Caenorhabditis elegans: one gene and its partner. The protein of the gene in region 1 purifies or fractionates together with the protein of each later gene. This does not show direct contact. Each region holds a gene or a part of one and is shown in the gene's direction. Other genes may lie near its edges. The genes, in order: Y62F5A.9 and dnj-30.

Evidence for each region.
Region 2: the proteins of Y62F5A.9 (region 1) and dnj-30 fractionate together in Caenorhabditis elegans (co-fractionation; one large-scale study listed by BioGRID). This does not show direct contact.

The regions. Positions count from the first base shown.
Region 1 is NC_003280.10:11,534,641-11,541,013, reverse strand, and holds Y62F5A.9 (uncharacterized protein), read left to right. Parts: upstream 1-2,172; 5' UTR 2,173-2,214; coding exon 2,215-2,388; intron 2,389-2,443; coding exon 2,444-2,568; intron 2,569-2,609; exon of another isoform or gene 2,610-2,706; intron 2,707-2,738; exon of another isoform or gene 2,739-2,830; intron 2,831-2,838; exon of another isoform or gene 2,839-3,081; intron 3,082-3,083; exon of another isoform or gene 3,084-3,301; intron 3,302-3,309; exon of another isoform or gene 3,310-3,487; intron 3,488-4,948; coding exon 4,949-5,021; intron 5,022-5,503; coding exon 5,504-5,725; 3' UTR 5,726-5,873; downstream 5,874-6,373. Other genes in the region: gtf-2E2 (Transcription initiation factor IIE subunit beta), read left to right, coding at 1-188; dhgd-1 (D-2-hydroxyglutarate dehydrogenase, mitochondrial), read left to right, coding at 384-576, 650-1,216, 1,273-1,789, 1,852-2,038.
Region 2 is NC_003279.8:2,717,430-2,723,564, reverse strand, and holds dnj-30 (J domain-containing protein), read left to right. Parts: upstream 1-2,089; 5' UTR 2,090-2,095; coding exon 2,096-2,125; intron 2,126-2,574; coding exon 2,575-2,895; intron 2,896-4,297; coding exon 4,298-4,461; intron 4,462-5,235; coding exon 5,236-5,437; 3' UTR 5,438-5,538; downstream 5,539-6,135. Other genes in the region: Y71F9B.6 (Cyclin N-terminal domain-containing protein), read left to right, coding at 801-1,046.

The DNA.
Region 1 (6,373 bases):
TGTCTGTGGATCATTTGGATGAGAAGAAAATCGAAGAATATCTCCAGAAGAAGGGTCTCGACGCGATGAAGGATCTGACGCCGAAGGTTCGAATGCAGGCTCCACTGAAAAGAAAAGCCGCGAAGAGACGGTTCAATCAAAAAGTACAAAACGAGCATATGGACGGAGTTTTGGAGGATTACGAATGATTTTAATTACACACTTCTGTTAACAGTACATAAAATGAACTATGATCATTTGTATCTCTTCTGTCTCTTTTTCTTATCACTGCCCAGCCGTTTGTTTTCTTATTGTTTTCGGCAAATCGGTCACCTAGCCGAGCTTTGTCTCCTACTATTTCTTTTGAAGTTTCAAGTTATTTTTTGAAAAGTTTCTGAATTCAGATGTTTCTGAAAATCTTGCCACGAATCAGAAGACCAACTAGAAGCTACGCAGCAGTTCTTGCCGCCAGACATGAAGGATTTGCAAAAGTGATGCAGTCGGATTTAATGGCATTTGAGAATTTTCTCGGGCAAGATGCAGTGAAGAAGGACGATATTACAAATCATACTACAGATTGGACAGGCCAATTTAAAGGTATTTGTATTTTAAGATTAGGTTTATTTAATATTAAATAGGTACTTTAAATATTAAATGTTTTAATTTCCAGGTCCTGGCAGTGTCGTCCTCTACCCGAAGAGCACCGAAGAGGTTTCTGCAATATTGGCGTATTGCTCCAAGAACAAATTGGCAGTAGTCCCACAAGGAGGGAATACAGGACTCGTTGGTGGATCAATTCCAGTACATGATGAAGTTGTTATATCAATGAATAAAATCAACAAGCAATTCTCTTTCGACGACACAATGGGAATTCTCAAGTGTGATTCTGGTTTTATTCTGGAAGACTTGGACAACAAACTTGCAAAACTCGGATATATGATGCCTTTTGATCTCGGAGCCAAAGGATCCTGTCAGATTGGAGGAAATATTGCCACGTGTGCAGGAGGGATTCGGTTGATTCGATACGGAAGTCTTCACGCACATCTTCTCGGGCTCACGGTGGTTCTTCCCGATGAACATGGAACTGTTCTACATTTGGGATCAAGCATTCGGAAGGACAACACAACTTTGCACACTCCACACCTATTCTTGGGAAGTGAAGGGCAGTTGGGTGTTATCACAAGCGTCACAATGACTGCGGTTCCTAAACCGAAAAGTGTACAAAGTGCGATGCTTGGTAGGTTGAATATTTATATAATGGGTTCAAATTTTTCAATTTCTAATTTTTTTCAGGCATCGAATCCTTCAAAAAATGCTGCGAAGTACTGAAGCTTGCAAAATCCAGCCTCACTGAAATCCTTTCCTCCTTCGAACTTCTCGACGATGCTACGATGGAATGTTTGAAAACGAATCTAGGATTGCACCCAGTACTGAATGCTCCAACCCCATTCTCGATCCTTGTCGAAACATCAGGATCCAATGAAGATCACGATATGGAGAAAATGAGCGCATTTTTGGATGAATGCCTCTCAAAAAATCTGATTATCGACGGAGTGCTCGCTGGATCTTCTGCAGAAGCTACGAAGATGTGGCAATTGAGAGAAAGTGCACCATTGGCGGTTACCAGAGATGGATATGTCTATAAGCATGATGTTTCTTTACCATTGGAAAATTATTATGAATTGACGAATGTGATGAAGGAACGATGTGGTTCTTTGGCTAAAAGAATTGTCACTTATGGACATTTGGGAGATGGAAACACTCATTTAAATATTACATCTGAAAAACACAATGAAGAACTTGAAAAATTGTAAGTTTCGAGATTTTTCTTTTTTATAAAATTTTAATTCTATTAATAATTTCAAATTCCAGGCTCTATCCCTTCCTCTACGAATGGGTTGTCGATCACGGCGGGTCAATTTCAGCTGAACATGGAATCGGTCAACTGAAGCTACCGTACTCCACATTCGGAAAAGATCCTGAAGAACGACTTTTGACAAAGAAGCTCAAGAACATTTTCGACCCAAATGGGATTCTCAATCCGTACAAAACGATATAATTCTAATTCTAATTATTAATAACGCGTGTAACAATACGTTTAGTAGCACAACTGTATAAACATTTGACCCATATATCGTCGGTTCTATTCTCTTTAATTATTTGAGCACCTGTTGAAGGGGAAAATGAATCCTCCAACCCCCAAAGAGCCGGGTCAATTCATCATTCTCCACTAAAATGACGATCCTAATTGTCGCTCTTTTTGCTTCCATTGTAGTATTATGCCACGGAGGTACTGTAGAAACTTCACATCCAGCTTCGGATAAAATTATTGGAAAATATATAGAATTATCAATGAATCTTACGATTCTTCTCGCAGATACTGCTATAGATGAGGCTAAAATTCATCAGGTTTGTGATTTTTTTTTTGAGAGAATTTTTTTAAACCAATGTTCAATTATTCTAGTTATCCAAAGATATGGTGTCAAATGATTACGACGAGGATAAAGTGCAACGAGTTTTGGACAAATTCATGGAAAGTCTTCCGGCAGATCAGAAAAAAGATTTTGGAAGACTTTATTTTGATAAAGTGTTAGTTTTAAGTTTAAGTTTAAAAACAGCAAAAAAAGAGCAGGAGGCTCCAGACCTAGGTGATTTTTCACCCGGTGATAGCGAGTTGTTAGAAGTATCTATCACTGCAGAGAAAAACCACCAAGGTCTCTGGGACCCACTTAAAAATAACTCACCTTGATATCAAATGCACCTGTACCCGCACCTTAGCTGATGTACACCCGGTGATAGGATTTCTGATATCTTATCATCATGGCATACATCCACTGAGGTGCGGACAGGAGGTTCGGAGACACCAGAGCCAAGCTGATTTACACCCGGTGATAATCTCAATGACGAGCTTATTACCAAGACGAAATCAGCTGGGCTCTCGGTATATCAGGAATTCAATAATCAGTAGCTGAATGGTAGAATGTAGGGGAAAACTCCAGAAATCGGAATGAGTCACAGGTCCTACTCCAGTTTTTCTCCCGGTGATAGAGACTTTTGGATGCGTTATCACCACGGAAAAAACCGGAACAGGACCTGGCTCACAGAGAAACCACGAGGACCACTGCAAGTGTTCACCCGGTGATACAGATTAGAGAATGTAGCACCGCAACGGACACCCACACTGGTCCAAGGGTTTCTAGAATCGATTTTAAGATATTTTATCTTTCCGCGTCGGGGACCCATGCGAATTTTCACCCGGTGATAGACACTTTGGATGGTCTAGCACTGAAGCGAAAATTGGCGCGGTTCCCCGACAGCGGTGGAGCAAGTGGAAAAGATCGAGCCACTGCTAGTTTCCACCCGGTGATAGTTCTAATGGAAAGTACCACTGTGGAAGAAACCAGCAATGGCTCGATCTGATCCGAGAATAATAGTTGGGAATGGAAATTAGGAGAGGGGAAGAAGGGAGAAAGTGATGGGAGAAAAGAGAAAATAAAAAAACAACTGATGACTGAATGGACCATTTCCATTCCTTTTATACTGCTGACTTGGTGCACCATTGGGTCTCCGCCCATTTGGTGTAGCGCGTTTGGTGTAGAGCAACGTGTCCACTCGGCGTCTCTTCATTTCACACACTCTCTCGGCTCGTTGCGGTCAAATGGTGTGCAGTGTGCGCTCGCGCGCGCGCGCTCACAGCAACGAACAGACGGACGCGCTCGATAAATGGTGGGCCCGATGGTCAACCGGGCAGGTCTAGGAATCGTAGAAAAGAAAGGGAAGAAAGAGGGGAGAAGAAGAAGGAGAAGGTCTGGGAAACACAGATTAGAGACTGGAGACAGGGGTGAAGGAAATTGGATGCGACGGGATGAACGCTAGGCGCCGGACGGCGGAGTTTTTCGGATTCTCTCGCTTCTTCTCGATGTCTAGAATAGGCGCATGCGGAAAGTAGAAGGCGGACAATCTGTTCCATTTTTTTGGAAGAGAGATAGATAGAAGGAGAAGCGAATAAGATTGAAGACGTGGACGGATGACCTCCCGTGTCGGGAAAAAAACCAGAAATAAAAAAGATGGAGCCAGCCAGCAGTGTAATCCGTTTCAAACGAGTCCGCTTTCATCGTTCCGCCGAAATGAGATTGCACTTGAGTGAGGAGAGAAGTTAATAAAAATAAGAAAAAAAAATTCGATTTTCAACTGTGAATATTCATGAGCACTGCATAACAATGTGCTCCAGCACAGAAACATGACGAATTGATGATTGCTAATAAAAATTTCGATTTGGAGAAACGTTTCTATCGAGAAAACACGTTACAGTAGGAAATTCTGTGCCTGTAAATTTTTATGATTGCGAAAAAGAGGTGTGCGCCTTTAAAGGATTACGGTAATTAAAAATTTTAATTTTCGGTGTTTTTAAAGTTTTTTTTTTTTTCGAAAAAAAAGTAAAAGTGATTAAAAAGACAAAATTTGATAAATTTTTGTTGAATTTAAAAAGGCGCACATACATTTTAAGTAAATTCAAACTTTGTTTCTGGGGAGTAGATTTTTCATAAATTTCGATAAAAATAGATTTATTTTTTTAACTCTAATATAACTGTATAAATATTCAAAAAAAAACCTCTAAAAATCCGTGAGAATATTTACTGCATCAACAAATGTTTAAAATTACAGTACTCTTCAAAGGCGCATATGTACCTTTCCGAATTTATTGAAAAACTGTCGTGTCGAGTCCGGATACCGTATTTTTCAGCGCAAAAAAATCGTATAATATCGCGAACATTTGAAAAAAAAATTTTGTTTCTCAGCAGGAAAACCATATTCTTTGAGATCTAGAGCAACAAACCAATGAATTATATTACATGTAAAGGTCCTAGACCACCTGACCAACTGATTGCGCAAGTTTCTAGTGTACACACTCGGGACCAATAACTTATGACGTAACTTTTTATCAAACTATATATACTTTTTCTTCCAGAAAACTCGACTACATAACTTCCAAGGTTCATCGTGTTCTCGGCTTCTACCTAACACGGCATCAAATTCAACGAGTAAGCTAATAATAATATCTCGTGAGAATTGACTATAGTTCCAGCTTATCCACATCTGCTTTAGTGAGCTCTAAATCTTTCGTAATTAGCCCCATGAGATACATATTATTAGGGTCAAGAAATTTCCTAAAATCCAATATTCTCTAATATTCTTCTTGTTTCCCAAGAAGTGCTCATAAACGAACAAAGAACGGTATTTTACGATAGGGATCTGCTAGAGAACAAACATGACGTCATCTGCCACGTCATCTCAGCTGACCCGAACCAACAGACGATGTGTCTCCCATGCACAATGGGGGTGCTAGAACAGGGCCTAGTGTATGTTGGCTCATTACGAAATCTGGGGCAAAGTGGTGGTCCCCTCATTATAGTGGGTCAGATATGACGGGACGATTAGTGAGAGAGAGAGAGAAATACAGGATTAGGATCTAAAATGAATGAGTGGCAGGTGGTGCACATGAATAAAGGGACTTATTTTTCAGCTCAGAGATGTATTGGACAAGAAATTCGTTGAAGGGGCCTCACGATCACAACTTGTAGAGGCGATGGTTGAGGAATTGACGAAGGATGTGAAAAGGGAAAAGGCTGTTAAGGCAATTGAGCAGACTATGAAGGATTTGAAGATTTTCAACAGGAAAAATCCAGGATGGGTGGATAAAGTCGAGGCATTGTTTAGCCATGTGCTTGTTCACGATGAGATGTGATAAATAGATTTCCAATTAATTGAATAATTTATAAATATTTATTGTCGAAAAGTTACACTTCGTTGGTTTTTTGGTTTTTATTTCTGTAAAATTAAAGATAATGTTGAATTTAATAAATTTTAAATATTTTTATTTAATAAATTTTAATCTAAATTTATCTAAACATGCCGAAACTCAGGTTAATATGCATAAATATTTTAAATCCAGACTTTCTAGGCCTGCCAATTTCAAATTTCGTGCGTATTTCGGTGTGCGCAACTGCGCTCCATTGACAATATTATTTGAGGCCCCACGAGGGGAGCAGAACGAAAAGGGGATCTGCAAAAAGGGGATCTGCGAAAAGGGGAGATACGAAAAGGGGAGATACGAAAAGGGGAGCAACGAAAAGGGGAGCTGGCACTGTGCCAAACGCACAAAACGCAATTTTTCTCACGCAACGCACGTTGATTTTTGAAATTTTCTTCTAGAAGATACGCTTAACAACACGCGACGCGTAACATCGGAGCATCGTTGTATTGTTTTCTTTGAGAAAAATAGCGTTTGGCACAGTGCCAGATCCCCTTTTCGTTGCTCCCCTTTTCGTATCTCCCCTTTTCGTATCTCCCCTTTTCGCAGATCCCCTTTTTGCAGATCCCCTTTTCGTTCTGC
Region 2 (6,135 bases), on another chromosome or scaffold:
TTTAAGGTTACTGTAGGCAATTTTCAAACTTTTTAAATGCATTTTCTAGTCGATTTGAATCGAAAATCTTTTTTTTCCATTGAAAATCTAAATTTTTAGAGCGACTTTTAGCCCAAAAAGCTTTAATCTTAGTTTATAATCGACATAATGCAACAAAAAATAGAAAATAGCATAAATTACGTCTAAAAAATGATTTAAAAGCTTAAACTTTGAGAAACTGTCGGAAAATTCAAGAAAAAATCTGAAAATGGTTAAAGGGAGGCCACATTTGGAGGAGGATGGGTCTCGCCGCGAATCTCGTTGAGCAATTAAGCTATGCGCCTTTAAGGTTACTGTAGACAATTTTAAGTTTTTAAAACAGTTTCTAATCGATTTAAATCGAAAATCTTTTTTTCCAGAGAAAATCTAAATTTTTAGAGCGAATTTTAGGCCAAAAAACTTTAATTTTAGTTTATTATCGACATAATGCAACGAAAAATAGAAAATAGCATAAATTACGTCTAAAAAATTATTTAAAAGCTTAAACTTTGAGAAACTGTCGGAAAATTCAAGAAAAAATCTGAAAATGGTTACAGGGAGGCCACATTTGGAGGAGGATGGGTCTCGCCGCGAAATTTGTAAAGCAATTAGGGTATGCGCCTTTAAGGTTACTGTAGGCAATTTTAAAAATTTTAAAATATTTTATAGTCGATTTTAAGCTAAAATCAGTTTATAATTATTATCAAAGCTGGTTTTTTTTTAAATTTCAATTTTTTTGAGATTTTCATATCTATTTAAATCTAAAATCAATTTTTTTCCAGGGTCTAATCTCAAAAGTCAATCGAAAATGTGTCGCCGGAGCCGCTCTCCTCGTCGCCCTTAAAATGAATGATTACAAGAAGTCTACGATCAAATCGTACATCGAACAGGCCGAAGATCAGCTCCGCGAGCCGAAATCCGATCTTTTGGCTTATGAGCTTCCAATTTGCTCGGTGCTCCAGTTCAGGCTTCAGCCAACAATTGATGAGATTCAACCACATGTAGATAGATTGCAATTTGAGATGTGAAATATTGTTATTATGTAAACGCAGAAAAATGTGCTTTTTTGAAATCGTGGTGCAAGCGCGCTCCACGGATAATAGTTGGGTCTCCTTAAAGGTGGACTACGCTCAGTGGAGAAATTGCTTTAAAACACGCCTATGGGGCCACAATGACCGAATATCATGATATAAAAATTCAAAAAAATTTTCTAGATTTTATATAATTTTTTGAAAATTGGAAAAATAACAGTTTTCACCTAATTATTTTTGAATTTCCACCAATCGGATTCGTTCGATTGAGCGCGCTTGCATTATTTTTATTAATTAATTTTATTTATTCTCGTTATTTGACTGATTTTCTTCATTTTCTATGTTTTTTCCTCGGAAAATGAAAGAAATAAAAAAGACAAACGCAAAATGTTTGTTAAAAAGTAATTGAAAATGAGTAAAACTGTGAATATACTAATTTCAGGCTTGTTGTCGTCGGAACTCAGAATATCAGAGTTTTAATCATTTTCAATTCAAAAATAATTGGTTGAAAACTGTGATTTTTTCAATTTTCAAAAAATCATAAAATCTAGAAAATTTTTTTGAATTTTTTTATCATGATATTCTGTCATTGTGGCCCCATGGGCATGTTTTAAAGCAATTTCCCCACTGAGCGTAGTCCACCTTTAAGTATTGGCGAGAAAACCGTAATTTCAAAAGTTTTCAATGATTTTTCGTTGGTTTCGAGGTGAAAATCATCGAAAATTGTTAAAAATATTTAGATTTGGCCGCCATTTCTAACGAGACCCAACTTTTAGCAGAGGAGCGCGTTTGCAACTTGGTTTTAAAATACGGATTTTTCCGCGTTTAAATAATATGCAATTAGTTTTTATGTACTCAATCCATGACCCTTTTGAGATTATTTCTAGTCGACATTTTTCAAATTTAATAAATTTGGTTTTTTTTCCCTTATTTTTTCTTCAGATTTTCGATTTTTTTGCGTTGAATGTCGCTATTGTCTATATATTTTTTTCCTTAATATTTTTCCTAAAATCTAATTTTAAAAAAAAAATTTTTTCCAGCAAAAAATGTCCCAGTTTGAGTCATTTTATCAGGATGTAAGTTTTTTTTTTCAAAAAATTTGAAAAAAGTGTACATTTCTTGGTTTTTCTGGAATGTTTCGAATTTTCAGACAGTTTTCCGCGAAAAAATATTAATTTTATGTGGAAATATCGATTTTAGGGCCAATTTTGAAGTTTTAGCGAGTTTTTTCAGCTGGCTATCAATTATAAAACTATAAAAAAAATAAAATTTCGCCAAAACTTTGAAATTGGCTTCAAAATCGCGAATTCCAAATAAAATTTTTATTTTTTAAAGAAAACTTGGCTGAAATTTTTAAAAATCCAAAGAAAAACCACAAAATATGGCCAGAAAATGCGCGGGAATTCAAAAATAATTCTCAAAAATTTTTAAATTCAAGAGAAAAATTTGAAAAAAAACCAATTTTTTTTTGAAAAAGTTGAAAAAAACCATTAAAAATTTTAAAAACATTTTTAAATTTTTCCAGCTAAAATCCACGGAGCAACAGGACGCGGCTCTTACTTCTGAGCAACAAATCGAGCGACTTTTGAAGCCCGGTTCCACATATTTGAACCTTAACCCATATGAAGTGCTCCAAATCGATTTGGACACGGATATCGAGGCGGCTAAGAAGAAATACAAGAAGCTCTCACTACTTGTGCATCCGGATAAAAATCCAGATGATCGAGAACGTGCTGACAAAGCTTTTGATATTGTGAAGAAGGCGATTAAGCAAATGGAGGATCCGATTGAGTTGAATCGATGCAAAGATTGTTATACGGAGGGAAAAGCTCGGCTTGCTATTGTGGTACGGAGCAACTATGAAGATTTGCATGGAAATTCTGAGAAAATTTTTTAAAAAATTGGATTTTTCTGGAAAAAAAAAATGCCGAAATTTGGATTTTTTTTTTCGATTTTTTAATCAAAAAAAACGAAAGAAAAATCACAAAAATTCATCCCATTTTTCTCATTATTTTGTAGTTTTTCACTGAAAATCGAAAAATCCAAAAAAATTTTTTTTTAGAAAATGAACAAAAAAAATTCTAATTTATGTTGATGTGAAAATAAAATAGAAAAAGCCAAAAATTTGCAATTTTCGCAAAATATTTTTTGAACAAATCTGAAGACAATTATTTTTTATATTTTTTTTCTTCAAAAAATGAGGAAAAAAAACTAGAAAAAAACAAAATTACTGATATAAACCAAAAGCGTATTATTTTAAAAATAATTTTCCAAAAAATTGAAAAAAAGTAAATTATCAAAAATTTACTTTTTTAACGTTTTTTTGGAAAAAAATCGTTTTTTTCTTGATTATTTTGTGAAGAAAACGTAGTTTCGCAAAAAATTTCATATAATTCGGAAATTTTTCGTTTTTTTGTAAAAATTGTTTTTTTAAAATTCACTCGAAAATCCAAGACCACGAAAAAAATTAGTTTGTATCCTAAAAATTAAAAAAAAAAATTTTTGAAGCAAATTTTAATCAAAAAATTATGTTTCTTCGAAGAAAAATTGTAATTTTATACAAAAATTATGAAAAGTGAACGAAATTCGAGGGAATATATATATATATATAAAATTTTAAAAAATACATTTTTCAATTTTTTTGTTGAAAAAAACCAAAAAAAAACCACAATCCACAGTCTCCTCGTCATCGAAAGCGCACAAAAAACTGCTTACTGGCGCGTTTCGCGTTTTTGCTAGCGCATTTTGTGGATTTTCCGAAATTCAGAAATTACGCGGAAAATAGGCTAGAATTCCAAAATTACAGCCCCGCCTCTTTTGATAATTATCTTCAGGATGAAGAAGATGATCGCGAAGGTGGGTGACTTGAAATATACAAGAAAAATATGATTTCTTTAGAGAAACACCATTTTTACCGTTGATTTTTTAATATCCCTACTCCTCCTTCAGTTTTTGACCAAATTTTCTCTTTTAATGGTCTTTCATTTCATTTTGTGCTAATAAACAAATTTTAAGTTCGAAATCTGCGAAAAAATTCGTTTCAACGCTAAAAAACGACGAAGTTTATTTTTCAACACTAAAAAGATTCACTCCCTCCCCCGGCTGCGCCAAGGTGTGAGCAAGTGCGCCCCAGCCCAATTCGACGCCGAGGAGACTGTGCAATCCTACCTCCAAGATCGTTAACAAAAATCAAAAATTGTATATTTTTTTTCTCAAAAATTCATTTAAAAAAACCGAATTTCTTCCAGATGTCGGAGAAAAAGCGAAAATTGCGAAAAGATGGAAAAGAAGATGTGATTGAAGAAGATGATCCAGCTGGATACAAGAAAGCTCTGTGGATTACTGTAACAAAAGTGTTTGCTGATCGAGAGAAGAAGAGAAAGATGCTTGAAGAGAGGGCGAATGAGGAAAAGTACGGGAAATTGATAGTAAATTGGAGAAAAACCGAATTAGGATCAATTTCTAATTAGAAATTGAAAAAAATTGAAAAAATTGAAAAAAAATGGAATAGAAAAATCGGAAATAACAAAGAAAAATTGAGATAAAATCACAAAAATCCGAGTTTTCAGAAGAAACAAAAGAAGAAAAATTCCAATTTAAAAAAATTAATTTTGTAATTTTTTTGGTTTTTTGCTTAAAATCAAGTAAAAAATGTAAAACAATTTTTTAAAAATTAAAAAAAAAGTAAATTTGGCAATTTTACTGTTTCTTTTTTAAGAAAACTTTTTTAATTTTAAGAAAAATAAAATACAATTGATTTTTCAGATATTTATTTCAAAAAACTGAATAATTTTTAATAAAAAATGCAAAAATTGAACAGATATTAAGAAAAAAATTATTTAAAAAAAATTGAATTTGCCAAAAATTTCTGAAAATTTTCAGGTTTATTTATATCAAAACCATATATTTTTTGAAGTTTTCCTGAAAATCCTTGAAGAAAATAAGATAAATTGATAAAAATCCGACTTTTTTAAAAGAAAAATACAATAATTGGTAATTCTCATTTTCCAAAGCGGAAAACCTCAAAATTTCGGGTTAAAATATCTAAAATCTAGAATTTCTTGGGAAGTTTCGAATTTTGCTCTAAAAAATGTTGTATTAAAAATTACATTTTTCTGAAAACTCATTTGAAAACAATTTTTTGCATTCAAAAATTGCCTTTAAGAAAATCACAAAAATTTTTCAGACGCCGCTCAACTGAAGCGTTAGTCCAAGCAGCAGAGAAGCGTAAACTGGCCGAAGAATTCGCGAAAAACTACGAAGAATCTCGTGACGAACGTTCCGGAAGCTGGAGAAATTTCCAGGCGAAAAAGGCGAAAAAAGAGGATAAGGGAAAGACGTTGAAGGGTGCAGCATTCAAACCTCCGAAAGTTAAACTTCAGAAATAATTATTGATCTCTTTGAATTTTTCTATTTATTCTCATTCATTATATTCCCATCATTATTGTGTAAAATCTCAACAAGTTTTTGTAAAAAATTATTTTATTCGAATTTTTTTTGTAAAAAAACCATTAAAAACCTCCAAAAAATTACGAAAACTGGAAATTTTGAAGTTTTAATTTTTGTTTAAATTTAATTTCCGGATATTTTCAATTTTTTCCAAATTTATTTGAAAATTCAAAAAAAAACGATAAACCAAATTTAAAAGTAAAAAGTAAAACGTATTCCCATCATTAATACAAGAGTGGAATTGCCGTTCGGCAAATTTTTATCGGGAAATTGCCAGTATGCCGATTTGCCGAAAACTTCAGTTCCGGCAATTGGCCGATTTGCGGGAAATATTCATTTTCGGCAATTTTTCGATTTGCCAAAAATTTAAATTCGTGCAATTTGCCGGTTTGCCGGAAATATCAATTCGGGCAAATTGCCAATTTGCCGGAAATTTTGAATTCCGGCAAATTGCCGATTTGCCGGAAAAAAATCGTTTGCCGCCCACCTCTGCATTATTGTGTAAAATCTCAACAAGTTTTTTGTGAAAAATTTTTTATTATAGTTTCCTTGAAGAAAAAAAATTTCGGAAAAAGTAGAAAAAACCCGTAAATCAAAAGTAAAGAGAGAAGAAATGATGGTTGAATGCATTAAAAAC